4 linked regions of the Notamacropus eugenii genome follow. The protein of the gene in region 1 binds, or shares a complex with, the protein of each later gene. Links are inferred from orthologs where the notes say so. Each region holds a gene or a part of one and is shown on either strand. Other genes may lie near its edges. The genes, in order: SMARCA2, PHF10, SMARCD1 and SMARCC1.

The links.
Region 2: SMARCA2 (region 1) and PHF10 share a complex: the UniProt entries of both Homo sapiens proteins name them as parts of the neural progenitors-specific chromatin remodeling complex. The link is inferred for Notamacropus eugenii from reciprocal best matches to the Homo sapiens genes SMARCA2 and PHF10.
Region 3: SMARCA2 (region 1) and SMARCD1 share a complex: the UniProt entries of both Homo sapiens proteins name them as parts of the BAF complex. The link is inferred for Notamacropus eugenii from reciprocal best matches to the Homo sapiens genes SMARCA2 and SMARCD1.
Region 4: SMARCA2 (region 1) and SMARCC1 share a complex: the UniProt entries of both Homo sapiens proteins name them as parts of the BAF complex. The link is inferred for Notamacropus eugenii from reciprocal best matches to the Homo sapiens genes SMARCA2 and SMARCC1.

The regions. Positions count from the first base shown.
Region 1 is NC_092872.1:99,142,445-99,149,834, forward strand, and holds the start of SMARCA2 (probable global transcription activator SNF2L2), read right to left. Parts: upstream 3,011-7,390; 5' UTR 2,838-3,010; intron 2,688-2,837; 5' UTR 2,621-2,687; intron 2,394-2,620; exon of another isoform or gene 2,178-2,393; 5' UTR 2,005-2,177; intron 1,005-2,004; exon of another isoform or gene 739-1,004; intron 317-738; exon of another isoform or gene 1-316. UniProt on the Homo sapiens protein: ATPase involved in transcriptional activation and repression of select genes by chromatin remodeling (alteration of DNA-nucleosome topology).
Region 2 is NC_092873.1:266,066,057-266,073,666, forward strand, and holds the start of PHF10 (PHD finger protein 10), read right to left. Parts: upstream 3,006-7,610; 5' UTR 2,947-3,005; coding exon 2,857-2,946; intron 1,490-2,856; exon of another isoform or gene 1,308-1,489; intron 1-1,307. UniProt on the Homo sapiens protein: Involved in transcription activity regulation by chromatin remodeling. Belongs to the neural progenitors-specific chromatin remodeling complex (npBAF complex) and is required for the proliferation of neural progenitors.
Region 3 is NC_092874.1:222,199,039-222,206,537, reverse strand, and holds the start of SMARCD1 (SWI/SNF-related matrix-associated actin-dependent regulator of chromatin subfamily D member 1), read right to left. Parts: upstream 3,021-7,499; 5' UTR 2,970-3,020; coding exon 2,793-2,969; intron 2,681-2,792; exon of another isoform or gene 2,655-2,680; coding exon of another isoform or gene 2,532-2,654; intron 1,844-2,531; coding exon 1,656-1,843; intron 1,384-1,655; coding exon 1,341-1,383; intron 1,231-1,340; coding exon 1,108-1,230; intron 669-1,107; coding exon 546-668; intron 1-545. Other genes in the region: ASIC1 (acid-sensing ion channel 1), read right to left, coding at 6,527-6,631, 7,359-7,463. UniProt on the Homo sapiens protein: Involved in transcriptional activation and repression of select genes by chromatin remodeling (alteration of DNA-nucleosome topology).
Region 4 is NC_092872.1:12,829,333-12,836,451, forward strand, and holds the start of SMARCC1 (SWI/SNF complex subunit SMARCC1), read right to left. Parts: upstream 3,012-7,119; 5' UTR 2,997-3,011; coding exon 2,790-2,996; intron 1-2,789. UniProt on the Homo sapiens protein: Involved in transcriptional activation and repression of select genes by chromatin remodeling (alteration of DNA-nucleosome topology).

The sequences.
Region 1 (7,390 bases):
GAGCGCTAGGCCTGTCTCTCTCCAGCTTCTTCTTCCTCTTCCCTCCCTCTCATCATGTCATACCGATCAAACATGTCTGTGTGTGTATGTGTGTGCGTACGTGTGTGTGTTTCGCCGCTGTGACTTCCTGATTCCCCGAGGATTTCACACACATACACACACCACCACCACCACCACCACCACCACCACCAAACCTCGCCTCTTCCTCTCCAGGCACAGGCTGGGGAGGGAGGAAGAGGAGGAGGAGAAGAAGGAGAGAGGAGGAGGGAGTCTGCTTTCCTCCTGCTGCTCCTGACTCGCGCGCGCACACGCACGCACGCACACACACACACACACACACACACACACACACACACAACGCACTCGCGCATACACATACACACACACATACACACACACTCCAACCTAGAGCAAACTGTAATACTAGCTGCAAACCCCTCAGGCCCTCTCCACCGCTCTCTCCCTCCCCTTCCACCTTAGTTATCTACCCTGCCAAACTTTTCTGCCTTAGACCTCTCCAAACTTCCCTCCTGGGGTCTGGATGCGGCAGACCCCCCTCCGCCTCCAAAGCAACAGGGGCAAGTTCTGTGCCTCCCCCTCCCTGCCTTCCAACCACTATAAAAACAAATGAAAACAGGAGGACCGCGGTCTTCACCATCTCATCTAGGTAGTTGCACACTGGTTACAGCCAAGAAAAAGCTGGGGGAAAGCCGCAAGAAGCAATTTCCCCGCGTTTACCGGAAATCAACGAAGTCTTTGGGCCGGGAAGCGTTTAATGCACGGAGCTATCCATTTATCTTCCAGATGAAGCCAGGCATACACAGATGCGCTGGATGCAAGGCACCAGGCATGCCCGAACGTCCGACCCCGCTGTTCTGCACCCGGGAGGTGGCGGCGGCAGCGGCCCGGGGAGTGGACGGGGCCAAGTCAGGGACGAGCTGGACAGGCTATTTGGGGAAGTGAATCGCGACACCTTTGCAGTTCGCGTGACTGTGTTTTGCAAGGCAACCAGAAGGAGGAGAGGAGCTCTTGGCGCTGGGGGGGCGGGGGGCGGGAGGGGGGAGGAGGAGGGGAGGGGAGGAGGCAGAACCCAAACCAGATTCGATCAGAACCCTACAAAACTAAAAGACAAGGAACAAGAAGAGGCATTGGTGGTCAGGAGACTCTGGACCCTCTCCTACCAGGCAGCAACCTTCCCCTCGCCCTCCACCAATAAACCTTGCACTTGCGTGCCCCTGTGTGTGCGTATGTGTGTGAGTGTGTGTGCGTGTGTATGTGTGTAATGTTAGTGACAGTCAGACAGGGAGATTATCCGGATCATGGCCTCCTTGGCTCGGCTGGTTAACGCAGCCGCTGCTGCTGCAGCAGCCACTCACTCTTAACAAGCTCCATTTCTCCCCTTCTCACTCACTTGATTTCCCCATCCCATTCGCACCCCTGCCGCTGACCCTGAAAGGGATAGCTCAGCGCCCACTGCCCTAGAAAAAAAAAGGAGGGGGCAACCAGACCTCCTCCTTCTCTTTCTCCTCCTCTCCGTCCTCCTCCTTCGTGTCCTCCTTCTCCTCCTCCTCCTTTTCCTCCTCCTCTTCTTCTCCCCACCTCCACCCGCCCAGCTGCTAAGCCCGGGCCGGACACACTCAACTTCAACATTCAACACTCGGTGGCAGCCGCAGCGGCGGCGGCAGCCCGAGCACTCAGGCAGTAGCTGCCGCCGCCCCATGCATGCCCCCTCCAGACACAAGCACCAAACGAATCCTCCGTTGCTCCTGCCAGGCAGGCACTGGGGTGGGCACTCATTGGTGCACAGAGAGAGAAAACTGGGGAAGAAGAACACCGGGTGCGATTCTCCTGCAATCCTCTGTTCAAACCTCCCTCCCCTCCCACCACCACCACCACCACCACCACAGCCAGCAGCTACAGCACCACCATACAAGTCCAGGGGTCTGTCACCGTCGCAGGAAAGGGGGGTGGGGGGGAAGGTAAAAACACTCGAGTCCAACCTACCGGCCAGGTTCCTGCCGCCTCTGTTTGCTCCTGCCACCGCCGCCGCGGCTTCCCACCTTGGTCGCCCCCGCCGCCGCCGCCGCCACGGCGGAGCTGAGCCTCGGTTTCCCCGACTGTTGCTGCTTTCGATCTATTTCTGTCCGCGCCGCTGCCTGAGCTCCTGAACCAAGTCCCTGGGAGAAAGCAGCCAGGGGCTACCAGTGCTCTATGACAAGCTTTAGATTTTGCTCTCTCCTCCCCCTCCAACTGTTACTATGATGGTTTCTTATTATGAACTGTCGCGTTTCCATCCTCCCTCCTTCTTTCCCCTCCTCCCCCTCTTCCCCTCAGAGGTTTTTAATGGGGAGGGGGGGGATGCAACCTTGCCCATCTATGTGCGTTGTAGTGTGTGTGTGTGTGTGTGTGTGTGTGTGTGTGTGTTTGTTTTGCAACCTTGACTTGGCAGCGCGTCGGTGACTTGGTAGCCAGGTACAGGATTGTGTGGCTGCTTTTTGTTCTGATTCTCATGAAGTAGGCATGATTACTGTCATTATTAGAACCCCAATTCTCTTGGAAACTTTCCCTCGTCACCTCTTCTCCAACCACCCAGGTGTTGTGCTGTCTGTTCCTTATTCACCTGAGACCGGTGAGGAATGTTGTTGTTTTGTTTGTCGGCTGCTCCTCTTCTTCGCTTGTTTTGGTCTCTGTGCATGTACAATCAATAATAATTATGATCATAATGAATAAATCCTGGGGAAGGCTGAGTGTGCACGGGAGGTGGTTGTGCGACAGCAGCTGCTGCAGGAGCGGGGGGTGGGGGGGGTGGGGAGAAGGGAGTTGTAAGTTATATTTACCTTGCTTGTGAAGAGTATGCTGGATGGATCTTCTCCCTCTCTGAGTCACCCAGAGTACAGAAACAGAGCTAGAGAGAGGACTAGATTATGAATATGACTTCATTGATGACAGCCTTCCCCTCCTCTTCCTAAACTCGGGCCCCTCCTCCTTACTCCTCGCTAGGCCCACCCCCCTGACGCTAGAGGCTCCGGAAGCTTCTCTCCAGTTGGCTGGGCCCAGCGAGAATTCCTGCCCACCCCTGCCGGGGTTGGTGGACCTGTTCTGTCACTCGGCCCCCTTGGCTACTCCGGGAGTACCGGGAGGAGGGGGTGATGGTGTGGAAGAATGTGCCTTGAGAGACAGGTCTACTGTATGCGCGTATGCATGTGTGCCTGTAAAGGCTCCAGCCTTTGCTCCCTGTTTGTACATGGAACCACAGAAACTGCGCAGGACAGAGCAAGCCTGCCTGAGTTGGCTTGTGGATGTTCATGCTTTACTGCTGCCTTTTTCAACGATTGATTGTTGGAATGTCTTTCTACCCCCCACCCCCACCCCCCCTCCGGCTTGAAATTTTCCCCCTTCAGCGTCGTGTTGTTTTGGGGAAGAAGGCTCTGGAGACGTAACAAAAACGGAGGGTAGTAGTAGTAATAGCTTGTAGTAGTTTGGGGGGTATGGAAAGAAATTGCTGGCATTTAACTGTGCCAGCCATTGCCAGGTCGAGCCTGGAAAGGGGGAAAGGAGGGGGGAGGAGGAGATAGATTCGGAGTTGCACCAAAGGCTGGTTGTTACAAGGAAGGGATAGCCATTGTCAAGGCTGCAGAAACTTCCTCCCTCTCCCGCCCCACCCCCCCGGACTATAATTATAAATCTGCCTTTTTCCAGGAAGGGAGGAGGGTACAAAGAACATTGAGATCAAATCCGACTCTCCTTCCATTGAGTTGCACCTTTCCAAAAGTCATTGATCCCCCAAATCTGCAATCAGGCTATGAAGCTTATGGAGAAATAGGGACACCTCCACTCTGGGAATCGGAGATTGCTATCTTACCTTTCTTCTCCTATATTCCATAAGTAAAAAATAAATAAATTAATAAATACACACCAGTTCTGAGGTGAGGGGAATTGGGAGGGGGAAATAAGGAGTTGGGCCATTGAATCTCGTTTTGGTGGAAGCAAGGGAGTAAATCTGGTAACCTGCATTCACATTAATCTCTAAGTCTGCCTTCCTACACTTAAGAGGCAATTAAGATTTCAAACTAAATGCTCCTGGCACTTTAAAAAAAAAAAAAAACCCAGACCTCAGCTTATGGTGTTCCTTGAAATACAAGCACCTTAGGCCTACCAGGCCGTCAATATTTGCTGAGAGAAATATTTTTATGAACTGTGAAAGAACACATTGGAAGATTTTAAGTCAGGGGTCTGTTATTTTAGCCTCAGATTAATGTAGGTATTTGCCTTTAAAAATTAAAACTGTTCCTATGTGCTAGAGTTATGAAAAGTTTGATTTATCCCTTATTTTGCCATGCAACAGCCTAAATTAGTCATTGAAAGTGCATTGTGACTATTTTATAGAGAGTTTTCCCCCTAGAGTAAAATCCTATTTTAAGAGGCATTTTACTGTTGCAAAATTGACTCTATTTGAGCAAGTGTCTGAAATGTCGTTCTTGTAGTATGTTCAAAACAGCCAGCTGGAGAAGTTAAGAACCTGAAGCAATGGGAAGAACACAGAATGCTCCATATGGTCATTAAGTGACAGGTACTGTTTATGTTACTGGTCTATTACTGACCAAATTAGAATCTGTAATGACATGATTATAATGCCAGAGATACAATGTTACTTGTCACTGACACTGTAGTTTCCCAAGGTCTTTTTACTTGATCACCAACTTCAACATCATTTTCTGGCTATTCAAAATATGATAAAGGACAGTATTAAAGAGAATCAATTAAAATACGTAGTATGTCCCCATGCATCCAGTAAAATAAACTGATTTTTCTGCCCAAGGACATGCTGATATAATTATTAACCATCGAATCTCCAGCAAGAGACGCTGAGCAAATTTAGGTGCATAGTAAAATACAGTCAAAGGTATTTAACTGTTTCATAAATTACAACTAATAATAAAACTTAATAATTTGGTGGCCCATAACTGGGTTTTAATTTAATGAAGATTCTTGTTATAATGGATAATTTCTTAAGACCACATATTTTCCAATATTTTGGCATAAGAGATTGCACTTTATTCCTTCCTAGAAAAAAGAGCCCTTGGACCTCTTTGCCCTCTCCATTATAGTTAAGGCAATTTTCATGGAGAAACCAATCACCTTGGCAAAACATCTGTAGAAGGACTTTCCATTCCTTCTGGAATTTTTCCCGCTTTTGGGGGGAAAATGTCTGTATGGATATGTATGAGCATATGTGAGTATTCAATTACCCAATTTAATTAAATTTTAAGTGCTATGTGCAAGGCACTGAGTTTGGTACTGAGTATTCAATGGCAAAAATATAAAATCATATATGTATATATACATACATTTATGGATGCATACATGTATGTATGTAGACATATATGTATGGATGCATACCTTTATAGGTACAAATACATCATATGTAAAGATATGTGTCTATATATTATATGCACACACACACATATATATTCATATATACATACATGTTCAAATACCTTTCTACTTACTGACTTTGTTATTATTTAGACTTTACATTCTAGTCAAATGGGACTAATTGATATTCCCTGAATTGTTTTTTTCATTTCTTGCCTATGTGTCTTTGCACAGGCCCAGAAGGTACTCTAGGTATCTATGTGGCTCAGTGGCACTGAGCCTGGAGCCTGGAGTCAGCAAGACCTGAATTCAAATCCAGCCTTAGTTACTGGCTACCTGTGTGACTTTGGGCAAATCACTTAATATCTGTTTACCTAGGAGGCAGCTAAGTGGTTTAATGGACAGAGTTCTAGGTCTGGAGTCTGGAAGACTCATCTTTTTGAGTTCAAATCTGGCCTCAGATACATACTAACTGTGTGGCCTTGGGCAAGTCACTTAATTTCCATTTGCTTGAATCCACATGAGAAGGAAATGGCAAACCACTCCAGTATCTTTGCCAAGAAAACCCCAAGGACAGTATTGGTGTGCTATGGTCCACAGGGTAGACATGAATAAAGAACAAGAAGGTATTCTCTCATTTTTAGTTTCTTGGAATCTTACTTTTTCAAAGCGTTGTTCACATACCTCTTCTAAAGGAAGCCTGTTCTAATCCATCCACTTGCTAGTACTTTTTTACTTCTCAAATAAGTTGGTGTTTTCTTATCTATTTATATGCTGCATCCTGTATTAGAATGTAAGGTACTTGAGGGAAAGGAGTATTTTTAAGTTTAAATTTAAATTGTAAATTTTTGTAATTGAAACACACATATATCACACATACACACACATACACATAAATATACATGTGTGCATTTGTGTGTATGTGTATTGTCTCTAATGTATTATATAGTTTCCTCATCTAATTTATAGGATTTTGTATGCCTTTGTGCATAATTTATGAAGAAACTATGGAAATTTCAAAAGCATAGATAAAAAACAATATCAATCAGGAAAAACAATGTCAACATTATTTTCTCAACCACATATCCCTTTGTGCTTCCTAGGAAAATGACAATCTCCTTCCTTTGATTTCTTTAAATAGATCTTATGAAGGATTTTCATGTAAGTAACATGCAGTGTAACAGGCAGGAATCTCATCCAATATTGCTCGCCTGTTGTGGCTTAAACTTCTGAGAAATGAAATTGCATCCCCATCTATTTCAGATGTGAAGTAAATAACATGAAATTCAGCTTTCAGGAAAAAAGCAAAATTTAACAATTGATGTGAAGAATGGCTATGAGGGTTGCTTTTGTTTTGGAGAGAATCTCCCAAAAGCAGATATGGTCAAAGGCTGAAAGATCTCCAGGTTGTCAAACAGGATGTTAAATTCACGTGAAGCTTTTCCTTCTGGCCTTTGATGAGTCATTGTTTGGTCTCTGAAGCAGCAGCTTTTCACTTTCTACCTTGGAATCCAGAGACAGAGACCACCTCCTCATGTCTTTATTGACACATTCATTTGTTTGCGCCCAGTATATCACTAGAAGTTCTTCAAAAAGCAAATAGATGATTTAAAAATTGAAGTCTAGGGTCACAGTTGTTAAAAAGAGTAAGGATATGGAGCCAACAAACATTTCTAGACTTAAAGGGAAATTATTCCTCTGATTAAAATGTTGTCTAACTATGATGAAAAAGGAGTAAATACGGCCATACAGTAATGACTGTATGCTTTGTCTGTTGTAGATTACTATAGAAGATTTTAGAATTTTAGATTTTAAACTTAGCTACTACTGTTATTGTGGCTATAACACTATAGTTTAGCAAGAAGTAATCAATAAAGCTAAAATCAACTCAAGAGTTTCCAAAAGGATTCTTTCCAGCATTGATTAGGATGTTAATACCCAACACTATATGGATCACCATATTTTCAAAAAATTTAATTATTTTCTGGTGGTCAACTTTAGTATGGATGTTTTC
Region 2 (7,610 bases), on another chromosome or scaffold:
TTTTAAAAATTAAATAGTCTAGTTTTCCAAATATGATTACGCCTGATCTCTAGCAGATGTTCTTCTAGCAAACAGGGGTGGGGAACCTGCCATGCATAGCCCTCTAGGTTCTCAAGTGTGGCCCTCTGACTGAATCCAAACTTCACAGAACAGATCCTTTTATTTAAGGGGATTTGTTCTGTCAAGTTCAGATGCTAGAATCTAGCATCTCTTGAGCATTATACATTGTTCTCCTGATGATGCTATACCAATGCAAATCATACACACAATAATGTTAGGAAAATTAAAATTACAAGTACTCAAAGGGCAATGGAGATCTTGCTGATGGTTATAAGGTTGGCTTCAGAATATTACCAAGACAAAAAAATGCTATAAAAGATATGAAGATTAAGAAACTATAAAAGGTGTCAAGTCAGTGATTACTGTGAAAATCAAAAGTGAATAATAGAAAACCCCTGTATTACTATATACTTCTGAAATCTTAGAAGAGCCAGAGGAAGCGCATTAGAAAAGTTCAGGGGATTTGTGATTTTCTCATACCAATAAAATCATCATTTCAAAGTAAAAGAATTCCAGTTTAAAAAAAAGACAATTTCCAAATCTAGAGTGGTTACATCCTTAATCTTGAGATGACTGACTTTATTATTAGTTCATAGTTATTTACAGGTTGGCTCTCCCCTTAGAAGGCTAACTCCTTGAGAGCAGGATCTGTTTTTGCCTTTGTATCCCTAGTACTTAGCCTGAAATACAGTGTTTGTTCAATGTCTAACTGCTGTATTTCAACTTTTTTACTAGATCTCAAGATGAGTTTTTAAAAGTATTTGCTTCTCTTTCAACATTTAATCATGACTTTTAAGCCACAAAGTATTTTTAACTTCTAAGATTACATATGCTCATTTGGATATTTTTCTCTGCCCTTTCATTTAAAAATATTTAAATTCTTATTTTGTCCTTAGTTCTTCCCCCTTGCAAAATAGGAAGATCTCCATTTTTCCAGTTTGTACTTAAAAAATCCAGTTGAAGAAAAAATGCAAATAAAAATTGTCAGAAATATCAAAATGCCCTAGTTTTGATTCCATTTTTTGTATTATCTTAAGCATATGCTTTATTAATTTTTGGTCAAAGGCTGGTTTATTTTTCCATGATTGATAATTTTTTTAGTCAGCTTCTCTAAAAAAGAAAATGCTGACTCAGATTCACAGTTTTGAAAATCTAGGCAAATGTTTAAAAAATAAAATACGTGGCATTTACATCATAGTGTAGATACAATATGGTACTTTGGATTTAGATCTATCACTGTCACTCACAGCTGAAGTCTCCCTTCTTTCACTAGTTAGAGATAAGTTAGAACTCCTCGGAACCTTTTCCTCATTTGCATTTTATTTTCCAGAGGGGAGGAAGGAACTTCATCTTTCAATTTCATTGCACAGGGACCTCCTAGTCTGAAAACACCTTCCACTTAAAGCAGATCAGCACCCAAATGTATAACCTAAAAAAAAAAAAAAAAAAGTGCCTGGGGCACTTAAAGTTGAGTGACTTATCCAAGGTCATAAAGCTAGTTAGAGGTGGGGTGGGTCTCACAAACTGAAAGGCTGACTCTATACTTCAACTGTGTTGAGGTCATATATAATGGGAGGATTATAATATTTGAATTTCCTAATTCAAATGGTTGAGGATCAAGCAAAATAATGCATGCAAAAGTGTTCTTGTAATATTCTATTCATATTTTCAGGAGCAATTTTCATTCCAATTTTGGCCAGTGCTTATAAAAAAGGATGCAGAAAAAATCCCCAAAACAACATAATCCCACAAGTGGTTATCCAGCCTTTGCTCAAGACAGCCCATTTCCCTTTTGGGTATTTCTAAGTTTTTTACTAACATGAAATCTAAATTTGCCTTTTTCCAAGTTCCACTCAATGCTTCTGCTAGATCCAAGCAAAACAAACTTAATCCCTCTTTTTCAAAAAGAGGCAAAAAGGTCATTTTGTAAACAAAGTTCCGGAGTAAAACTGAAGGTGTCTTGGATGAAAAAGGTCTCCTGAATGAGATTCTTTTGTGGTGGTCCTATGTTAACTTCTCCAGTAAACTAGTGACTCACTATAAATTCAATAACTTGAAATAATTACAAGTGTTACTTCAATACTCCAACGGCTTTGTGACTGCACACATGTGGACATGCCAAAAATGTAACTAGCTACAAAACCTTTCCAGTTCTGCGGCGTTATCCGGAGCTTAAAAACTCTTTACAGTGAACTTAAGATCCGAGTTAATATCCGGATACACCTGAGCAAACCGCACAAAAACAGGACCAAGTCCTTTCTTGGCAGCGACCTGAACTGTGGAGACTTCTGTCCGGGCCCGGGTGTCCCAAACGATGCCGACAGCCAGCCCACAGAGGCCAGGCCGGGCCGCCCGGGGGGCGAAGCAAGCAAGGGCCAAGATCGAGGAAGACTTCCTTTCTGGGGCTACCTGAGAACTTTTGGGGGAGGGGGGTGGCTTAAAAATCGCTCAGGAACGACCCGCAGGCGAAGCGGGGTTAAGCCCCGTCTGGTTGCTCCCTTCCTCTTCCGTGTTTTCGGTATCCAGGCTCGCTGACAGCTTGGGGCCGGACTTTTCGGGGAGGCTGACGGGCACATCCCTGGCAACTTCCCTAGCTTGTGGCCCTGACTCGGAACTGCAGAGACCCTCCCGGGACCCCGCCCGCCTGCACCTGTTTCCGGGGTACCCCGACCCCGTCCGGCCCGCGATGGGGCTGGCGACCCCCAGGGCTAAGGGCCGCCGTTAGGGGCTCCCAGGGGCGGGACGAGCCCGGGGACCCCGCAGGCCGGCGCCTTCCCCGTTCGCGGGCCCGCTCACCTTCGGGGACTGGGCTCCGGGCGTAGCCGGGTTGCTGTCGCACAGGCGCGGGGAGAGCACAGCCCCGGGGGTGGCGGCCGCCGCCGCCATCAGCCCGAGCCCGAGCCCCCCGCGCCGCCGGCGCCGCCGTCGCCGCCGCCTCGTCCTGACCGCCGCCGCCGCCGCCGCGCGGAGAGGCCTCCGCGGCGTCCGCTCCCCCGGCCCCGCCCCCTCCCCTGCCCCCTCCGCCCGCCCGCCGCCGCCGCCGCCGCCGCCGCCACTGCCGCTGCCAGGCGGCCGGCCCCGGCCCGAGCCCCGGCCGGCACCGCCGCCGCGCGCCCCCCGGCTCGGCGCCGCCGCCGCCACCGTCACCGCCACGGTCGCCGCCAGCGCTGCTGCCGCCGCCGCCGCCGCCGTCACAGTCACAGTTCCCGCCGCCGCCGCTGAGGCTGCTGCCGCCGCTGCTGCCCGGAGAGCGGGGGAGCGGGAGAGGAATGGAAGCGATCGCGGCTCAGCCCCCTCCTCACGTCACCCCCTTCCCCTCCCACCGCAGCCCGGCTCCCCCGCCCCCTGGCCCATCCTGCTGCCGGCTCCGCTGGGTCCGCTCCCCCTCGCCTCGATTTCCCCACCCCGCCCCCTCCCCTCCAGCCTCCTTCCGCAGCCCCAGCCTCGGCGGCCCCGCCCCCCTCTGTTCTCCGCTCCCGCCGCTGCCGCAGCCGGGCCGCTCTGCGCATTGGCCGCGGCCCCCGCCCCGCCTTTGTGTGGTGTGCGTCCGGGGGCCGGCGCGTCCCCTCCCGCCCGGCTCCCTCCTAAGGCTGCCCTGCCTTAGGAGCTCCGGGGCGGAGCGGGGCCTCCTCGGGAGGGCTCTGCGGGGTGCGGGGCGGCCGGCTTCCGGCCCTTTGGCCTCCTCCGCCCCTGGGCTGCCTTTGTCCTCCCTGCTATTGTGTCCTGTTCGCCGGAAAACACCCCGGGAAAGGGCGGCGGGCTTCGTCCCGGCACCGAGAGGGCGGTATAGGGGACTGCACGTGGGGAGCCCCAGCAGCAATGGGGGGCACCTGTACACGGCAGACTGGGGTCCCCAAATACAGCCAGGCCCCCAGTCACCTGGTGCCGGGAAAGATCGATCTCACTCGGGGGTGACTGACCTTACATACATACCCACGTGCATCTGCACACACGCATGAGAGAGGGAGGTGCTGATTGGGACAGAGAGCCCATGTGCAATCATGTCTGTATAAATGTAACCGTGTGTGTACATGTTACATAGATGTATGTGTAGTTGGGGCCGTTCCAACCAGTCAGCCCAGACTGGGATAGAGATAGATATCTGTATGCCCCCCCTGGGGTGTACACAGATAGATCAGGTAGATGATAGATAACCTTCATGCTTAAGTATGTCCTTATTTTTCCTCTTTCTAGGCTAAACTACCTTCTTCAGCTGTAGCTACCTCTAGTTCTTATGGTGCAGTGGATAGAGCACCAGTGCAGGAGTCAGGAGGACTTCAGTTCAAATCTCCCCTCAGACACCTGACACGCACTAGCTGTGTGACCTTGGGCAAGTCACTTAACCCCAATTGCCTCATCCTGGGCCATCTCCAGTCATTCTGATGAATATCTGGTCACTGGATTCAAATGGCTCTGGAGGAGAAGTGAGGCTGGTGACCTGCATAGCCTCCCTCACTCAAAGCAATGTCAAGCGCAAGTCATGTCATCATTTCTGTGATGGCATGGTCTTCTTCAGAAGGAAGGACAAACACACACAACAGAAATTATCAATGGAGTCAAACCATGATGGGTGATCCAACAAAGGAGAAGCCAAAACTGACCAAAACTTTTTGCATGTACCTCTGAATCAGGTTCTTCAACTGTAAGTCGTAGAGGCTGCCATTCATCATGTGGCTAGCAGAACAAAACTCATTTCAGAATGTCTACACATTCTTCAGAGTCCTTCCAAGGCACTTCAGTCTCCTTAAAGAAAGTTCCCCAGCTTCTCCTATGAGGAGAACTGTATTGACCAGGCTGCTGCACTCATAAAGGACTCCTAAGAACTGAGCTTATTGGTCAGTCCCTCATTACACATTATAGAAGAAGAGACAACAAATATATGTAAGAACATATTCTCTGAATTTACCTAAAGGCAGGCTTAAAGTGCCCCCTCACAGTTCTAGGTGCACCCTTAAGTGGGTCTGACATGTTTCTTCTTTACTGCTTTCTACTTGAGCCCCATCCCTATCCCACACTAATTGCTAATGATTAATGACACAGTTGTAATAATGCTGACTTTTACAAAGTGATTTTTACTTTGATTTTTAAAGTACATTTTATTAATGTCTCCTGTCTTTGCATCTGTCATTTCAACTTTCACCCTTCAGATTACTTTCCCTGTGATTAAAAAGACATCAAAACAAAGTAAAAGCATCCAATATAGTGACATCTGAAAATGTATGCTGTAATATGCATTATAGTCTTCCATGGTACTGTGGAGATATGTCATCTGTTTTCCATCTCCTTTATTGGTTTTTCAGTTACTCAATACTTTGTTTTACTGATCTTTTCATTCAAGTTGTTGTAGTCATTATATGTATTGTTATCTCAACCAGTTCATGTAAATCTTCTCTTGTTTCTTCAAATTTTTCTTATTTCTTAACTGTACCATAATATTCACATTTTTTAAAGATCCTCCTTTTCTCCCTAATACCATCTTCTCTCCCATTGAGAAAAAAAGAAAACCTACGTTATAAACAGGAATAGCCAAGTAAATCAAATTCCCAAACTGTCTGTGTCCAAAATAAAATTTATCTTAATTTGTACTGAGTCCATCACCTACCTGCGTATTAGAATGCAGGTAACATGTTTCATTAAAAGTCCTCTGGAATTGTGCTTTTTCATTGTGCTGATTATAGATCTTAAATCTTTCAAAGTTGTTTGTCCTTACAACATTGTTGTTAATATAGAAATTGTATTTCTGTTTACTTCATTCTGCATCAGTTCTAACATATAACGCTTCCCAGGTTTTTCTGAAACCATCTTCATTATTTTTTTACAACGCAATATTATTCTATTACATTCATATACTATCACTTGGTCAGCCAGTCCCTAATTGATGAGTTTAATATTTTTTGAGCAGTTCTTTGCTACTTCAAAAAGAGCTTCTATAAATACTCTTGTATACATGAACCCTTTTACTCTTTTGTGTATCATTGGATCAAAGAGAATTCACAGTTTAGTAGCTGCAGAGGGATAATTCCAAATTACTTTTCAGAATGTCTAGGTGAGGTCACCATCCAGAGTAACAATTCATTAATGTTTCTGTTTTTCCACAATACCTCTAGCATTTATTTTTCTTTTATCAACTTTATCAGTCTAATGGGTGTGAGTTAGAACTTAAGAGGTATTTTCATTTGCATTTCTCAAATTAATAATTTAAAGCATTTTTATATGACTTGATAACTTGGATTTCTTTCTCTGAAAACTGGTTATTTATATCCTTTGTCCATTTATCAACTGGGGAATGGCTTTTAATCTTAGAAATGAGTCAGGGAAACTTGCTGAAAACATATTTTCCTCATATCTGCTTGTCTAATTTTAACTGCATTGCTTTTACTTGTGCAAAAACCTTTTAATTTTATGTAATTAATATACAATTGGCAATAGAAACCTATATTGCCCAATGAGAAAAAGGGAGAAGTAAGAAAAAGGGGCAAGGGAAGTGATTAAAGAGAAGACAGACAAAAGAAAGCAATTGTCAGAAGCAAAACAGACTTTAGAAGGAGGGATATATAAAAAGAGAAGCATAAAGAGAAGAAAATAGAATGGAAGGAAATGCAGTTAGTAATCATAACTGAATGTGAATAGAATGAAGGCACCCATAAAACAGAAGTGGACAGCAGAATGGATTAGAAATTAGAATCCAACAATATGTTGCTTATGAGAAACACACTTGAAACAGAGAGTCATGTATAAAGTTAAATAAAGAGGTTGAAGCAGAATCTGTTATTCTTCAACTGAAATAAAAGAGGCAAGGGCAGCAATGATGATCTCAGATAAAGTAAAAGTAAAACTAGACCTGATCAAATGGTATAAGCAGGAGAATTACATCTTTCTAAAAGGAACTATAGACAATGAAGTAATAGTAATACTAAAATATATGTGCCAAATGGGGACCCCAATTTTCCCCTCTCAGAACTAGATAAATCTAACCATAAAATAAATAAGAATTCAAGGAGATGAATAGAATGTTAGAGAACAGTTAGATAAAAGACTTCTGGAGAAAAATGAATGGGAATAGATAAAAATATACCCTTTTCTCAGCTATACATACCTCCTTCATAAAAACTGACCATGGATTAGGGTATTAAAAACCTCAAAACCAAATGCTGAAAAGCAGAAATGTTAAATGCACCCCTTTCAAAGCATAAGGCAATAAAAATTACATTCAGTAAAGACCATGGGAGAATAAAAATTAATTGGAAACTAAATAATCTAATTGTAAAAAACTGTTGAGGTTTCAACTCTAGGACACCAAAAATTGTTTTGGTTTCATGATGTATTGGGGTAGAACTGTATCAAAGAATTCAGAGTCAAACTACCTCTAATCCAAGTATAGGCATTTATTGAGATTGTCGCCTCTCAAAAAGCTGATTAAGTTCCAAGAGGAGCTAGCAACTTCCAAGAAAGCAAGATGGATTTTTGTAGGGTAAAGATATAATTACATAACAGAAATTTACATAGAATATAGGAATATGATTAATATTAAAAAGGCAGAAGGAGTTTGT
Region 3 (7,499 bases), on another chromosome or scaffold:
AGCAAGTGGGGGTGGGAGGTCTAGGGGCTCACAACCCCCCCGTTGACACTCAGCATGAAATAATGAATAGCATGTCAGAGAAATCTGCCTGTTCTAAATCATGATTTGTTCTCAGCAACAGCAGAGAGAAGGGAGATCACACAATGGGAATTAAGGATCTTAAGGATTCAGACAGGAAGTCATGGCTTGAAATGCCATATGGGGGAAAAACCTGCAAACTCACTTGATAAATAAGCCCAAACCAAGGTAATCAGCAGAAACCTGGGAAACCATTAATGGCCAGAACGAGCCGAGGGGGGAAGTGAACAGCAAATCAGATCACAGGACAATAGTGTTCTCAACACGATATGGCAGTGAAGGCCAAAGCTGTGGGAGCTGCACACAAAGAGCCATTGTCTTCCAACGCAAGGAGCCGAACGTCCCTCTCCCTGCTGCTCTGGAAAGGAGTTGTGAGCACCGTTCAGGGTCCCTCCAGACCAGAAAGACATTGCTCTTCTCTAGATGCCCCCACCCCCAGTCCCTACCAGTGTGAACATCACACTCACATCCTCAAGGAGCCTTCCTTCCACTCGAAGCTCCCAGGAAGCCACAGTTCCTTCCCCATCTTCAGCATCTGATTTAGCTGGATTGAAAGTATTCGAAATGAAAATACGAAGTTTCCGTTTTTGCTGGAGGGGGTAGAAACAAAGATTAGTATAGAGCTTTGGAAACAATACTGTGCCCTAACCATTTAATTCTACCAGAACAAATTGCTGTCTGCCCAGTCCCTTGGGGAGGGTAGAGATTCCAACTAGGAGAAATGAATGGGCAACCAGCCCACAGTGCATAAATAAGGATGCAAGACAAACGAGGATATTCACAGTGCCAACTGGGTTCCTGGGTAGAGGACTCAATTACAACAGTGACATCAAAAGTACAAAGATTTCTGGTGAAACAGTGGGCCCTCTTCTCCTTTTTCTATTCTGGTACTTCTAATAAAATTAGCTATTAGGGAAAAGGGGAAATTTAAATACGTCTGGGAGATCTACAGTGAACTTTCAATTTCTTAGACTGCTGATGGATCCTGAATCCCTCTTTCTTGGGTCTCTGCCGAGGAGTTTCCTGTACCTTGATGGGTCGTTTCAAGGCCTCCTGGATATCTAGCCGTTTCCTCATAATGGTTTGATCCAGTTTCCTTTCAAAAGCCAAGAGGTCCATGTAGGCCTGGGATTCTGGTACCAGCTCACGAATCTAAAGGGGAGCAAGATATAGTCAGGTATATAAAATTTGCTTTCAAACTCACGGGTACTATAGGGGCCCTAGGGGAGACTCAGGACATGGGGAAGGCGTGCTAGACTCACCCTTTGAGGTAGAATTTTGTCAGCCATCTTCTTTTTCTTTGCACTGTTCAGAATAAACATTGGTATTAGGCTGGGATGGAACTGACCAGAATCTGAAAATGGGGAGGGCGGCATCCTCATATGAATGCATGAGAAAGAGGAAAAGGGGTGCCCAGGGACTGAAAAGTTTCTTTCAGACCAGAGAAAAATCCCCCCAACCCATGGTAAACTCAGATAAGGTAGTTTCATGAGTCACATAGGTTTATAGACACACTCCCCAGTTTCAGCTGCTATGTCTCCATAGAATTGCTTTTACCCTTCCCAGAAGTGTCTTACTTGTGATTTCGATTCTGGACCGCCTGCTGCTGGACCTGTTGGATCTGTTGAGGAGCTGGTCTCTTTCGGGACTGATCTATTCCTGACTGGGCCAGACCAGGTCGAACTGAAGGATTCCCCCCATAGCCAGGAGGTCCCATAGAAGGTCCCTGAGGTGTCATACGGCTCCCTGGCAACATGCCTGGACGCTGTAGGTGAGACACAACACAGAGATGTTATAGCTGTCCCGAGCTGTGGGATGTTAGAAAGAATATTGTGTTACCTCAGGGAAAGGTATGGGGAAAATGGGAGAACCCTAGAACCTTGTATGAATGTGGGCTAACTGGAGCTTCCTTTACCCAGGATCCTGGCTCCTGAGAAGGCGGACCAGCCCAAAGTAGAAGAAAGGACCAAAGGACGAGACCAAGGTAAAATGTCATCTAGCCCGCCCCATCTCCTCTAATGCATAAACACGCTTCCTTGCTGTTCTGGGATTTCCTCTTTCCCTTAAGCCTCCTGTTCCTTTGGGGTTCTTCTTTTCTAGTCGCTATCTCTTTGACAACTATGCCTTCAATGGTTATCAGGACACCGTGGAGTTCTTAATCTTCCGTAGATCAGAACTCCCTCTTCAGCCTCTCCTCTATAACCTAACTCCGTACCCTTCCAAAGAAACAGAGCCAGAACCAGAGTTGGACCGGACCTGGGAGGTCACCTTGGCCCATCTCCCAAATCTGAATGCAGAAGCTGCAAGCTGTACGTAGGACATTAACCCTAGGACGAAGGGGCGCCTTTACTTTAGGGACCTGGAAGCCGAGGCCACAAGGGCTGGGTGAACTGGCCCCAGAGCACGCGGACGTCAAGCGGCGGCCGCATTTGAACCCAGGACCTCCGCCGAACCTGCTCCCGCGGTCCGGCCTCCCTAAGCGCACACCGGGAGGGATGCGGCCGGACCGGAGGCGCCTGGCTCTGCAGCTCGCTCCTCTCCCCAAGCCGCCGGGCCACGGCCAGCTCCATCTCCATCCTCTCGCCCTCCCCTTCTCCCCGGTTCCGGCCGCCTCCGGGCACCCCCGGCCCAGCCCCTTCTGCCACTCACCCGCAGGGCCCGCCCCCCTCCCGCGCGCCCCTCCTCCTGCCCCCCTCTTCCCCGCCCCCACTCACCGGATAGGCTGCTCCGGGCATCGGAGAGCGGTAGAGCCCCTGGCCGGGCGCCGGGCCCATTCGCACCGGGGGCCCCGGGGTCCCACCCGGGCCCAGGGCGGCCGCCGCGCCCGCCCCTGACGCAGCTCCGGCGCCGCCGCTCGGAGCCACTGACTGGAAACCAGCCCGGGCCGCCATCTTCCCCCGGAGCCGCTGCCGCCGCCGCACAAAGAACCGGAACCGGAACTCCCCCCTCTCTCGGCCACTCTCCCTTCCCCCTCAGCTACCCCCCCTCCCACCCCCAGACCTCCGGAGCTTGCCCGGGATAGGGAAGGGGTGGCTTCGGGCAACGAGACTGCGGGCTAGAAGGGAGTGGTGGAAAAGGCGAGGCGGGCGGTCCCCTCCTCCTGGCCCGCTGGCCCTAGGCGGAGAAACCAGCGAGAAGGAGCTGCGGGGGAGAGCGCCCCTGAGCCGCGCCCCCTGCCGGCCGGAGGGCGGCCAGGCGCCGAGTCTCCGGTCCCGAGCGCGGCGCGCACCTGGCACCAGCTACCCCGGCCAGGCTGGGCCGGCCGGCGGGGCCGGGCCCGGGCAGCGCCGGGTGTAGCTGCGCTCGCTGCTTAAGAAGCGCTTTGCTGCCCTCGGGTTGTCTCATTTCTTCCTGCCAAGGCGGCGGGGGAGGCTCTCGATCGCCCGTACGGCACACACGGAAGCAGGCTCCGTAACTCGGCTGGCTCGGCTCGGTACCGCGCTCCATGGTTCGAAAGGAGCTTTGCAGGCGCCGTGGGTTTGTTTATCCTCGCAACGATCCCGAGGAGGTGGGGGCTATTATTTACCCCCGTTGTACAGAGGAGGACCCTGAGGCAGGCAGGCGAAGTGAACTCGCCCCGGGGCGCCCGGCTGGGACAGGATCTGAAGCAGGGTCTGCCCGGCTCCGGGCCCCGGGGGTCTACTTGGCCGAGGCCGCCCGGGCGCTTTGGGAACCTCCCGGAGCGCGTCCGTGATGTGCCCGCGGGCACCCGGCTAGGAAACGGGAGTGTCGGGGTGGAGTCACCCTCCTCACCTTTGGATCTGCCCTACCCCCAAGTTTTACTGGTCCTAGGCATGACGTAGTCGGACCTCAGACTAATGAGCTGTATGACCCTGGGCAGATGGACCTCAATTTCCTGTAAAATGGGGAGGTGGGCACTCGCGACTTAGGGTATTACAGGTACTGTGACGCTCCAGGGAGAGAATTCGTAAAGCTTTCTTTTGTAAAGCGTATAAAAGTTCACGTAGATACTACTGCGTACCTTAGACCCGAACTACCTTGCCCATTGCCATGGGGACTCTCCTTGTACCCCCTCTTTCCCCCGCCTGAAACTCAAGCCCACTGTTGGTCCTCTGTTAGGCAGTCCTAGCTCAAAAGAATAAAGATCTTTGGTCTAAAAATGACCATCCAGGCCCTCTCGGGGTTCTTGTCCGCCCCTGGCACTCTGGTGCCAAGTCCAGCAGGGTTCTAAGCCTTGAACCCAGTGCCAAGTGGTGTTCCACACATACTTGTTGAACCAGCGAATGAACAATTAAAAACAACACTGTGAGGGGAGATGGTTGAAACCCAGTTTATTAGACCAGAGGAGTGTCTCACCCACCATCCTGCTGGCTGTCACCGCAGCTGCTTAGAGCATACTTCCTCCTGTTTCTCTACAGGGAGGTCTGCTCTCTGTCCAAGTGACAACCAGGAACCAGGTATTTATAGACTCCCAGCAATGTCTTCCTCCGAAATCCCTACCACTCCCCCAGCACAGGGATGGAGAGGGGAGAACAAGTATCTCCTAGAATTATGTCAGTGGCCTCATCCTCATCATCAGAGGCTATGTTGGCTGGGGCCTTCCCCCAGGGAGCTCTAAGCAAGAGGGCCTTAGGATGGAAGGGATATTTCTGGACCATCTGAGATAGAGAAAGATGAATTGGAAGGTGCAAACCTCTATTTTCATCTTATTTCTCAGGGGGAGGATGGGGAGATAGTGTAACAGCATGAGCTCCCAACGCTTCCTCTAGTCCTATCTCATTATGAAGTCCAGCCTTGTCCCTAAAATCTGAGCAATGGAGGTACAGGCTTGGACCCCAGGTAAGAGAGGATGGGTAGTCAGTAATGGGGAGAATTTGACCCTAGCCGACATAGCCTTGGGGATGAGGGCCTTAGACACTATCTTCTAGCCACCTATATATTTTTCAGTGGCTACCTTTAGAAACTATGGGTTGTTTCCCACCCTTACGCTGTCCCTGACACCTTATCTCCATGCTCCAGGGATTCCATCATCTATAATTCACCCTGATTTGGGGCCAAGAGGGAATATCTATCCTCTGAGCTAAGTGCCAATTCTCTGTGTCCACCCCTTCCCCCAGGAGGAAAGTCCTAGTCAGAAGGGGGATAATGGGACTGATGGAAAGGAAGGAAGAGGCCTTAAGGCTACAGGGAGGGCAGAGAGTGCTCAAAGCATAGGTAGGTTGGGGGGCAGGCCAGAAAGAGGCAGAGCTTATGATTCACAGCTTCCTTTATGTCCAAGACAGTGAGAGAGTTACAATGCGTACGTCGTCTCCTTGTGCTTCTCAGGGGGATGTGTGTACACAGTACAGACACCGGAGGAGAGAGTCCAACACTTTATACAGGTGAAGGCATTCAGAGGGATTGGTAGTAGGTTGGTAAGAGAGACAGAAGGAGATTTGGGAGGAAGTAGGGATGGGACTTAGAGACACAGGGGATGGGGATGGGAAGGGCAGACAGATAGAGGCGTAAGGAAGGGAGTATATACAGTTATAGCAATATAGAGTCTGTATCATATAGAAATAGAAAATGCAGATGAAGTCATAGAAAGAAACAGATGGAATAGAGGACAAAGACTTGGGGAAGTTCCATAAGAAAATTTATGGATGTGGCCCCATGCAAGGGACCCTTGGAGGGAGGAACTGGGAGTTAGGAGAGAAATAGGTGCCAGTTCCCCTCTCCCTGAGTTGGGAATCAAGTGTCTACATCTTTTTTCATGGAATGAGGGTGAGGGATCCCATTCAAAAATTTCTCTGATTTTGGGGTAGGACCAGGACCAATGTTGGCATGAAACCTGTGCCTCATCCTGTCCCAAGTCCCTCAGGGAACACCATCTATTCCTTGACCTCTGAAGGGCACCCAATAAGTGTAAGGGAGAGAGGGCCAGGGGCCTCAGTTCCTGCCCTTGTGATTTAAAACTGGAGGGTAGGGACACTACTGAAAGGGTCTCTTAAGGCTAGGGAAGCCCTCCTCCCCCATTAGCCCTCCCTCCTAAGGTACATTCTGTGTCTGGGGCCCAGTTCAAGACCCCTATGGAGTCTTTCCACTCATGTCGTCCCTGCTGGAAGAGCTTCAGTGAATGGTGAAAGCAGGATGAGAATGGATGTTCAAACAGACATAGGTCAGGCTAGGAGCAGGGGGAGGCAGCACAGGGCATAGAGGGACAGCCTGGGGTCCCTTGCCCTTTCTCTTTGTAGTTTATTTCTGTTGTTATTTGTTTTGTTAAAAATAAAAATGTATGGACATGGAGGGCAAGGGAGTAGAGAAGGGCACTGGACTCAGAACCCCCTTCCACCAGTTCTAGGAGGGAAGGACTTTGAAGGGAGTTGGGAGCTGCCCTTGAAGTGGGAGGGGCAGTGATAAGCCCCAGGGCAGGTGAGCAGCTTGATCTCCCAGGTTTTCCTTGCCCTCCTCTTCCCTCCCAGGCCTTTGGTATGACGGCTGGCAGGGCTCAGCAGGTAAAGTCCTCAAAGGTGCCTCGGGTCGGATGGTGAGGTAGGATGTTGGCGGCATATGTCATCCCAGCAGGATGGCCCCGGAGGCTCTCACAGGGGTTCTGGGGAGGGGGGAGAAAGAGCAGGGAAAGAATCACTAGAAAAGCAAACAAAGGGAGTCAGGGTGAAAAATATATTGGACTTTGGTTGATGAAGAATCATGGCAAAGGAAGACTAGGAGTAATTTTTTTTACTTCCCTGTCCTTCACCTTCAATATCCACTCAAATGACTGAATCTTATTGATCCTTTTTTCAAAATGTTTTTTTTTGCTCTAACATATATTTCTATTGCCACTATCCCTGTCATAACTGTTATTCCTAGATTGTTCCTAGATTAATAATTTCTAGAATGATTAATTAATACTGCCTTATTCCTAGATTATTACAGTAGTCCCTGAGATGATCTTCCTGGTATCTGCCCCTTCTGTTTAATTCTACAAACCCAGGTCTTTGAGGTCTTTTGACCTTCAAGGTAGGTATAAGGTCTTTGAGGGCAGAATTTATTTTTAACTTTTGTCTCTGTATCCCCAACACCTACAGTGCCTTGCATATAGTAAGTGCTTAAAAAATGTTTATGCACTGTTGAAGAGTCAAAGCAGGGAATAATTTTAGGGAAACATTGGGGAGAGTATTATCTTTAGGGTCACTTAGAGGGAAGCGTAGATAGATAACGTTGGGATTCCAGTGAGACCAGTGGGGAATGAGAGAAGGAAAGAGAATAGAGGAGGTTTTTGGTGTGTATTAATGTGGGAAAGGAGAAGAGAGAGCATCTTATTCAGGGTCTCTTACATGTCGCTTGACATCATCCAGGCTGAGGGCTACACCCTTGTCTGCACTGTTCCTTTTAGACTCCTTCTGGCACCTGCCCCGACGGCACAGCTTGTGCTTAATCACCTGGATGGAAGAGAGAAGACCTGCAGTGGGGATGGG
Region 4 (7,119 bases), about 86 Mb from region 1:
AACATGACATATGAGGGGGAAGGGGACAAAGAACAGAAAAGGGAGAGGAGGGAAAGGAGAGAGAAGAGAGAGGAAAAAAAGAGAAAGAAAGGAGAGGAGGGGGTAAGAAAAGGGAGGAGAAAGAGAGATCACTATCTGACCAAAATAAAAGCCTCAGGTACAATATAACAGTAACAACTCTACCACCTGACAGTAACATTGTACTTTTCAAAGTGCTTTCAGCATTTCATTTCATGATGTTCATCAAAAAATGATACTAATTAAGATTCAAAATGAACAAAATAGCTTTATATTCACAGACAATATTTTCAATCAGATTAGGAAACATACTGACAATTATGTACGTATATAGACCATGAAGACTTAGTAACACATTCAGCACTTTTCAAGCACTGCTCTGTGAGGTATTAACTCTCCATCTGGTACATATAACATCCTTAGAGAAAAGAATCACAACTTATTCTTTGTTCCTACATTAGCATAATTTCCTTTGGAGTAGAAGATGCTCAAATGTTATTTGGTGCACCAATGAAAATATCAAGAGAGTAGAATTACACTGAATCTAGTTAAAAATATAATATACTTTGGTCCAGGCCTCATTACAGAATATAAAAATTTTAATGTGCATTTTCAGCTCTCTTTAACCCTACTGAAAATGACATAAAATATCAGCATTTAACTTAAGACATTTTAAGACATTAAAATACTTTTTCCATAACTACTATAATGGCTTTTTTCTCCATTAGATATTTCTGAAACATTTTATTTTCATTGATAACTTCTGTTTCTAAATATATTATATCCATTGTCCTTTTCTCAGCCGGTGTAACAAAGATTTAAAAAAAAATTTTAAAGTAGTTAAGCAAAACAGTGCCTGGCAGAATATACAATATTCCAGCCACATGGTACCACCTTTACAAAGGGAGGGTGTGAATTTTCTTAACTCTTCTTGGAGCCAAGCTTAAATTTTAATTTTAAGCCACTGAAAAAGATCAAGGATAAATACACACTTCTTCCCTAGAAATGTATATCTGGATCTGCTCTACAGCCAGCTGAGAGTGATCCCTAGGCCTCCTAAACAAAAACACCAGAGCATCAGAACTGTGAAATGCATCAAGCACACCTTTGAGGGCTGCATCCTTAAGCAACCAGGCCAAAAGAAAAATTGGGGAAATATTGGAAGAGCATAGAGGTGGAATGAAGTGAGGGTCTCTAGTCTCCCAGTAGTGTTCAAAGTGCGGTCTGGAGAATTTAAGTCTCAAGACCTTTTCAAAGGGTCCACGGAGTCAAAACTATTTTTATAACAATGCTAAGACATTTTAATTTATAATATAGTAAATTCTGACATATAACCCACATAAACAAAAGCACTCAATAATTTTTATGAGGGTAAAGGAATCCTGAGATCAAAAAGTCTGAGACTGAAAGGTACAGAAACTCAATTCCACAAACCTTACACAAGGCATTGACTATAATAAAAGCTCATTTCCATTTGGCAAATTATTTTCTTACACATGTTAAGTTCACTAGATCATCTATCTGAAGCTGGATGGGATGTTAAGAGGTGATCCAGTCAAACCCAATGATTTCAAAGGTGAAGAAACCGAGACCCAGAGGTTAAGTGACTTTCCCAAGGTCACATATGTAAGTGGCAGAGGTGAGATTAAATTCAGGTCCTCTTAATTCCCAATTCAATGCTCTTTTCTCTACAATGTGCTGCAATGAAAAGCAAGGCTTCACAGGAAGCATCTAGAAAAGCACTGACACAAGTTTCAGATACCAAAAGCGAAATGAAATGAATACCTGTACCTGGCAACAAGCGTTTAATAATCATTAAGCTTTTAATTTCCGTTATTAACTTTCTCCTAAATATTCAATACATTTCACAGAAGAGATGGAAGTTCAAGAGGAAGAACAAAAAGAAGTCGGTTATGAAAAAAGGCAAGCAGTGTGAACTGGAAATTCACGGTTATCATAACCATCTTTCTGTAGAATGGAATGATGGGGGGAGCTCTGCTCAGGGACATTTAAGGATTAAATTTAAAAAATATCTAATAGGGTAAAAAAAATCTCCTCTGCTTCTCTCTTAAAAGTTTCTGTAACCTTACTTTGAGGTTACAAACTCCCAATTTTGTGCTTTCCACCCCCACTGTCTTTAAAAAAAAAAAACTGCAGAAAGAAGACACAGTCAGTAGGAGACTGGGGACCAAGGAAGACCTGGATTCCAAAGGTGCTCAGGCAGACCAGCGAGGCTCTCGGCCTCAGTTTCCCCGTCCGTAAAAGGCAGATGACTGAGGATGTGTCTCCCCGGGCGGCGTGAAACGTTCACACGCGAGTCCTCGCGACCTCGGAGGGCGGCCCCCCACCCGCGCGCACGCGACGGGCCCTCCAAGACTCGGTGAAAGAAGGGGCTCCTTTGTTGCTCGGTCCCGCGGCCCCGGCACCCAGCCCCCACCCCGGGCCCCGGCCTCGGCCCGCCTGACCCGAGAAGACCGCGAGGCGCCCCCCCCCCCAGCAGCAGGAGGCGGGGGGAGGGGAGGCACGGCTGGAAGACTTCCTGGAGGCGACGCTCGCGGCCCGCCCGCTCCCGCGCGGGGCAAGGCCGAGGCCCCGCCGCCCCCAGGCCCCGCCGGCGCCGAGGGGACGGCCCCGGGGGAGGCGGCCAGGGGAAGCCCCGGAGCCGCGGGCCGCCCTTTGTTGTCCCTCATGGCGGGGAGCGGGGGGAGGGCCGAGCGGGCCGCTCCCCGCCCCCACCCCGGGCCCCGCGGCCGCCCCGCGCCGGGACCCACCTTCTTGTAGTGCTTGCCCAGCCAGACCCGCACCGAGTCCAGCTGGGAGACCGTCTCCGGGCTCTCCCAAAACTTGCCCGCCGGGCCCCCGTCCTTCCGCCGGCACAGCGCCAGGCCCACGGCCGCCGCCGCCGCGCCCCCCGGTCCCGCGCCGCCCGCCGCCGCCCCCGGAGCTCCGCCGCCCCCGCCGCCCGCCGCCGCGGCCATTGTCGCCGTTCGCCGTGTCCGCCGCCGCCTGCTCCGGGACTCGCCGCCTGCGCGCGCACCTCCCAACTCCAGCGGGGCGGCCTGGCGCGCGCCTTGGTCACTCCCCCTCCTCCTCTCGCCTCCTCCCACTTCCTTCTCCTCAGGCCCAGGCCCGGCCCGCCCCCGCCCGCGCTTCTGCTCGTCCAGCCTAGCGCCGGCGCGCGCACGCGCGCACGCGGGCACGCACGCGCCGAGCACGCATGCGCCGAGCTCGCTCCGCGGCCCCTGGGATTTCCGTCAGTTCCCCAAACTTTTCTCTTCCCCGCCCTCCTCCGCGCTCCGGAGGGTGCGCGCGCAGCCGGCATCCTCTGCTTCGCCGGCGAGCTCCTGAGCTTCCTCTCAGGGCCGCCTCTTCTCGCCGGGTCCACCCGTCGTACCAGCTGGTCGTACTGGATGGCTCCCCAGCCATGTCTCCGGTTAGACGTGGAGCTCCTGCGCAGCCGGGCCGGCCGTTCGCCTTTCTTTGCATCCTTAGAGCGGTGCCTGGCACACAGTAGGCGCCTACTGAATGTGTCGGGGGGGGGAGAGAAAGGCTCTTTGACTTCCGGCCGCTCACGTGATTCATTCCTTTGTCCAGCCAAGACAAAAGGAGCGCCTAGCCGAGGGGGTGAAGGCCAGGCTTTGGGGTCGGGTCTGGGTTCGAGTTGTGCCCCCGGGACCCCGGGCGAAGCGCCCCCACCTTTGGTCCCAGGATGTTGGCTCCAAGAGCTGCCAGAAGAACGGCGGCCTGCCCGGTCCGGGTCCGAGTTTCCCTCAGCCCATCCCCCACAGCTCCGTGGCAGGGCCGGTCCGCAGAGATGACCTCTGCAGAGAGGAGGGGGTCACGTGCTCTGGGCAGCTGCCCTGGCGCTGACAGCTGGATGCAGGTGTTCCCGTAAGACCCAACAAACGCGGCTAACGGTTATTGATTGATTGATTGAGAGGAGAGGGCCCCTCATCCCTCACTGGAGTCCAGGTTGTAGATACCAGGCCTCCCCCAAAGCCGGGGCTCTCCTTTGCCCTGTCAGCTGTTCCTTGGAGAAGCTTTCCTAAGGTCTACAAGCAGACAAAACAGGGCATAGGGTAGAAGGAAGTGTTCTCAAGGGTCTTGCTACCTAAGAGAGAATTCAGCATGGAAACATAACTAACCATGTGCCATAGATCAGCGTCTAGCCAGCATAATAACAACACTGGAAGCAGCGTTGCCTATATTATCTCCAATACAGCTCAAGTAACTTGCTCTGCGTAGAGGCAGAATGAAAGCAGATCTTCCTGACTCCAAACATTCTATCTCCTGGGCCACCTATATCCCTACAAAAATTCCTGTACCATTAAAATGTTATAAGGAGTTCAGAGGAGAATGCAATTATGCTAAATGACCTCAAACAACTAAACGATGCTTTAAGGGCCTCAGTTTCCACATCTATAAAATAACAGGATCGGAAAAGCTGATCCCTGCAGTCTCTTCTACTTTTAAATTCTACAACACAGAGTTGGAGCTCCAAAGACATAACCTATCTACCCCAGGCCGTAGCTCCTAGGTGGGCAGAAGATCAGAAGACCTGTTTTTAAGGGAATTCTAAACATTCATAAACCCCAAATCTCAGCCTACCAAGGGTACTGAGGGATAGGAAGACTGATTTGTTTCTTAGGACTCAGATCCAAAGGATAGTGACTTGTGCCATATGATGGGTGACCTCTAGGTATGCTTTAGCTTCTGCCAACTTGAAATGAAGCTTTAGTATCTCATGATGGAGAAATTGAGTTCAGCCCAGGAACTTAATTACCACTATACACTTCCTCTGCCACCAGGACCTAGGAACTATAAGAGTTTCTAATTTGTGAGAACCAGGGGAAGTCAAGAACCTGCTCCAAAACATCAGAAATCCTGTCGGGAGGGGGGGGGAAAGGGGCACGGAGCCAACACAGTGGAGTAGAAGCAGGAACCTGCTAGAGTTGTCCCCACAAACCCCTCAAAAAACCAATAATAATGACTAAATTTCTAAAATTCTAGAGCAGCAGAAGCCACAAAATGACAAACTGAAGCAAATTTCCAGCCCAAGACAACCTTGGAAAGTTGACAGAAAGGGTGTATCACACTGGGCTGGGAGCAGAGCACAGTTCCATGTGGGCCATGCCAACACAGAAGATATTGGAGCAAGCCTTAGGGGACTGAATCACTGGCACATGCTGCAGTTTACAAATCTCAACCTACAAACACCAGACAGCTTTGAAGGTCAGTGTGAAGGGTCTCTCACCTGGCTGAAAGGGCAGCATAGTCTGGCTTCAGCCCCAGCCCCAGAAGCAGCAGCAGCCATTGCTGAAGCAGAGGCTGCTTATGGAGTCCCTCACAATACAGACCTCAAAAGTCAAGTAATTGGTTGTGCAGCTGCCCCTGGAGCCCTCAACATAAGAAAGAGCTCGAGTCAAGTAATTAACTAGGAAAATGATAAAACAGGAAAAAGAAACAGACTATAGATTCTTACTTTCTCTGCAAAGAGGTATTTTCTTATGTCATTGGTAACAAGGGAGATCAAAACATAGAACTACAAAAAGACAATAAAGCCAAATCTTCTGCATCCAAAGCCTCCCAGAAAAATATGAATTGATCTTGGGCCAACTTTGAAAATCAAGTAAGAGAAGTAGAAGAAAAATGGGAAATGAGAGTGATGCAAGAAGTCACAAAAAAATGAGTCAACAGCTTACTAAAGGAAACCCCAAAAAATGCTGAAGAAAATAACACCTTTAAAATTAGACTAACCCAAATGGCAAAAGAGGTCCAAAAAGTCAATGAAGAGAAGAATTCCTTAAAAAGCAGAATGGGCCAAATGGAAAAAGAGGTCCAGAAGTTCACTGAAGAAAATAATTCCTTCAAAATTAGAATGGAGCAAATGGACATTAATGACTTTACAAGGAATCAAGAAATTATGAAACAAAACCAAGAAAATGAAAAAATAGACAATGTGGAATATCTCATTGGAAAAAAAACTGGCCTGGAACATGGATCCAGGAGGGATCATTTAAAAATTATTGTACTAGGGGGCAGAGCCAAGATGGCAGAGTAGAAAGACACACATATACTAGCTCTTCCCCCATAGCCCATAAAATACCTGTAAAGAAAGGCTCTCAACAAATTCTAGAGCAGCAGAAGCCACAGAACAACAGAGTGTAGGAGATTTCCACCCCAGGGTGACCTGAAAGGCCAACAGGAAATGTCTGTCGCCCAGCCTTGGCTGCACATCGCAGCTCTGGGAGGAGGATGAGAGCAGACCTCAGGGGCAGAATCCCCAGTTACAGTAGCAACGGTTCACAGATCCCTCAACACAGGCGCCAAAGGTCAGTGACAAGGTTTTTTCAGCTGGCCAAGAAAGGAGAAGGGCCTTGCCATAGCTCTGAGCCTCAGATGGCGACTGCAGAGGCCACATCGGGTGGGTTGCAGCAGCTTCCACAGCAGCCCGCATCCATTGTTGGATTGTAAAACCCCTCGGGGCACTGAGCAGCTGTTTCTTACTTCAGCCCTGTGTAGAGGCCCTGCCCCCACCTAATACTCCTGGGGATTTGAGCAGCTGATCTTTATCTCACACTGAATGGCAGCCCTGCCCCTGCAGCTTATCTGAATCTCAGCCCCCAGTTCTGGCTCGGTGGAATTGGAGGCAAGGTGGTTGTGAAGAGGAAATTCAGATTTGGGGCACAAAAATTTCTGCTTGCTCCTGGACCAGTGTACACACTTGATTGTACCACCTTGGAGGAGCTGAGATCTTACAGACCCCCCCAGAGTATACCCTACTCTTGACAAATGACCCAAAAGTCAAGTAACTGGTTGGGAAAATGCCAAAAAAAGGGGGGGAAATAGGACTACAGGCTACTTTCTTGGTGAGCAGATATCTTCTCCCATACTTTCAGATGAGGAAGAACAATGCTTACCATCAGGGAAAGACATAAAAGTCAAGGCTTCTTTATCCCAAACATCCAAAATAAATATTCAATGGTCTCAGGTCATGGAAGAGTTCAAAAAGGATTTTGAAAATCAAGTAAGAGAGGTGGAGGAAAAACTGAGAAGAGAAATGAGAGAGATGCAAGAAAAGCATGAAAAGCAGGTCAACAC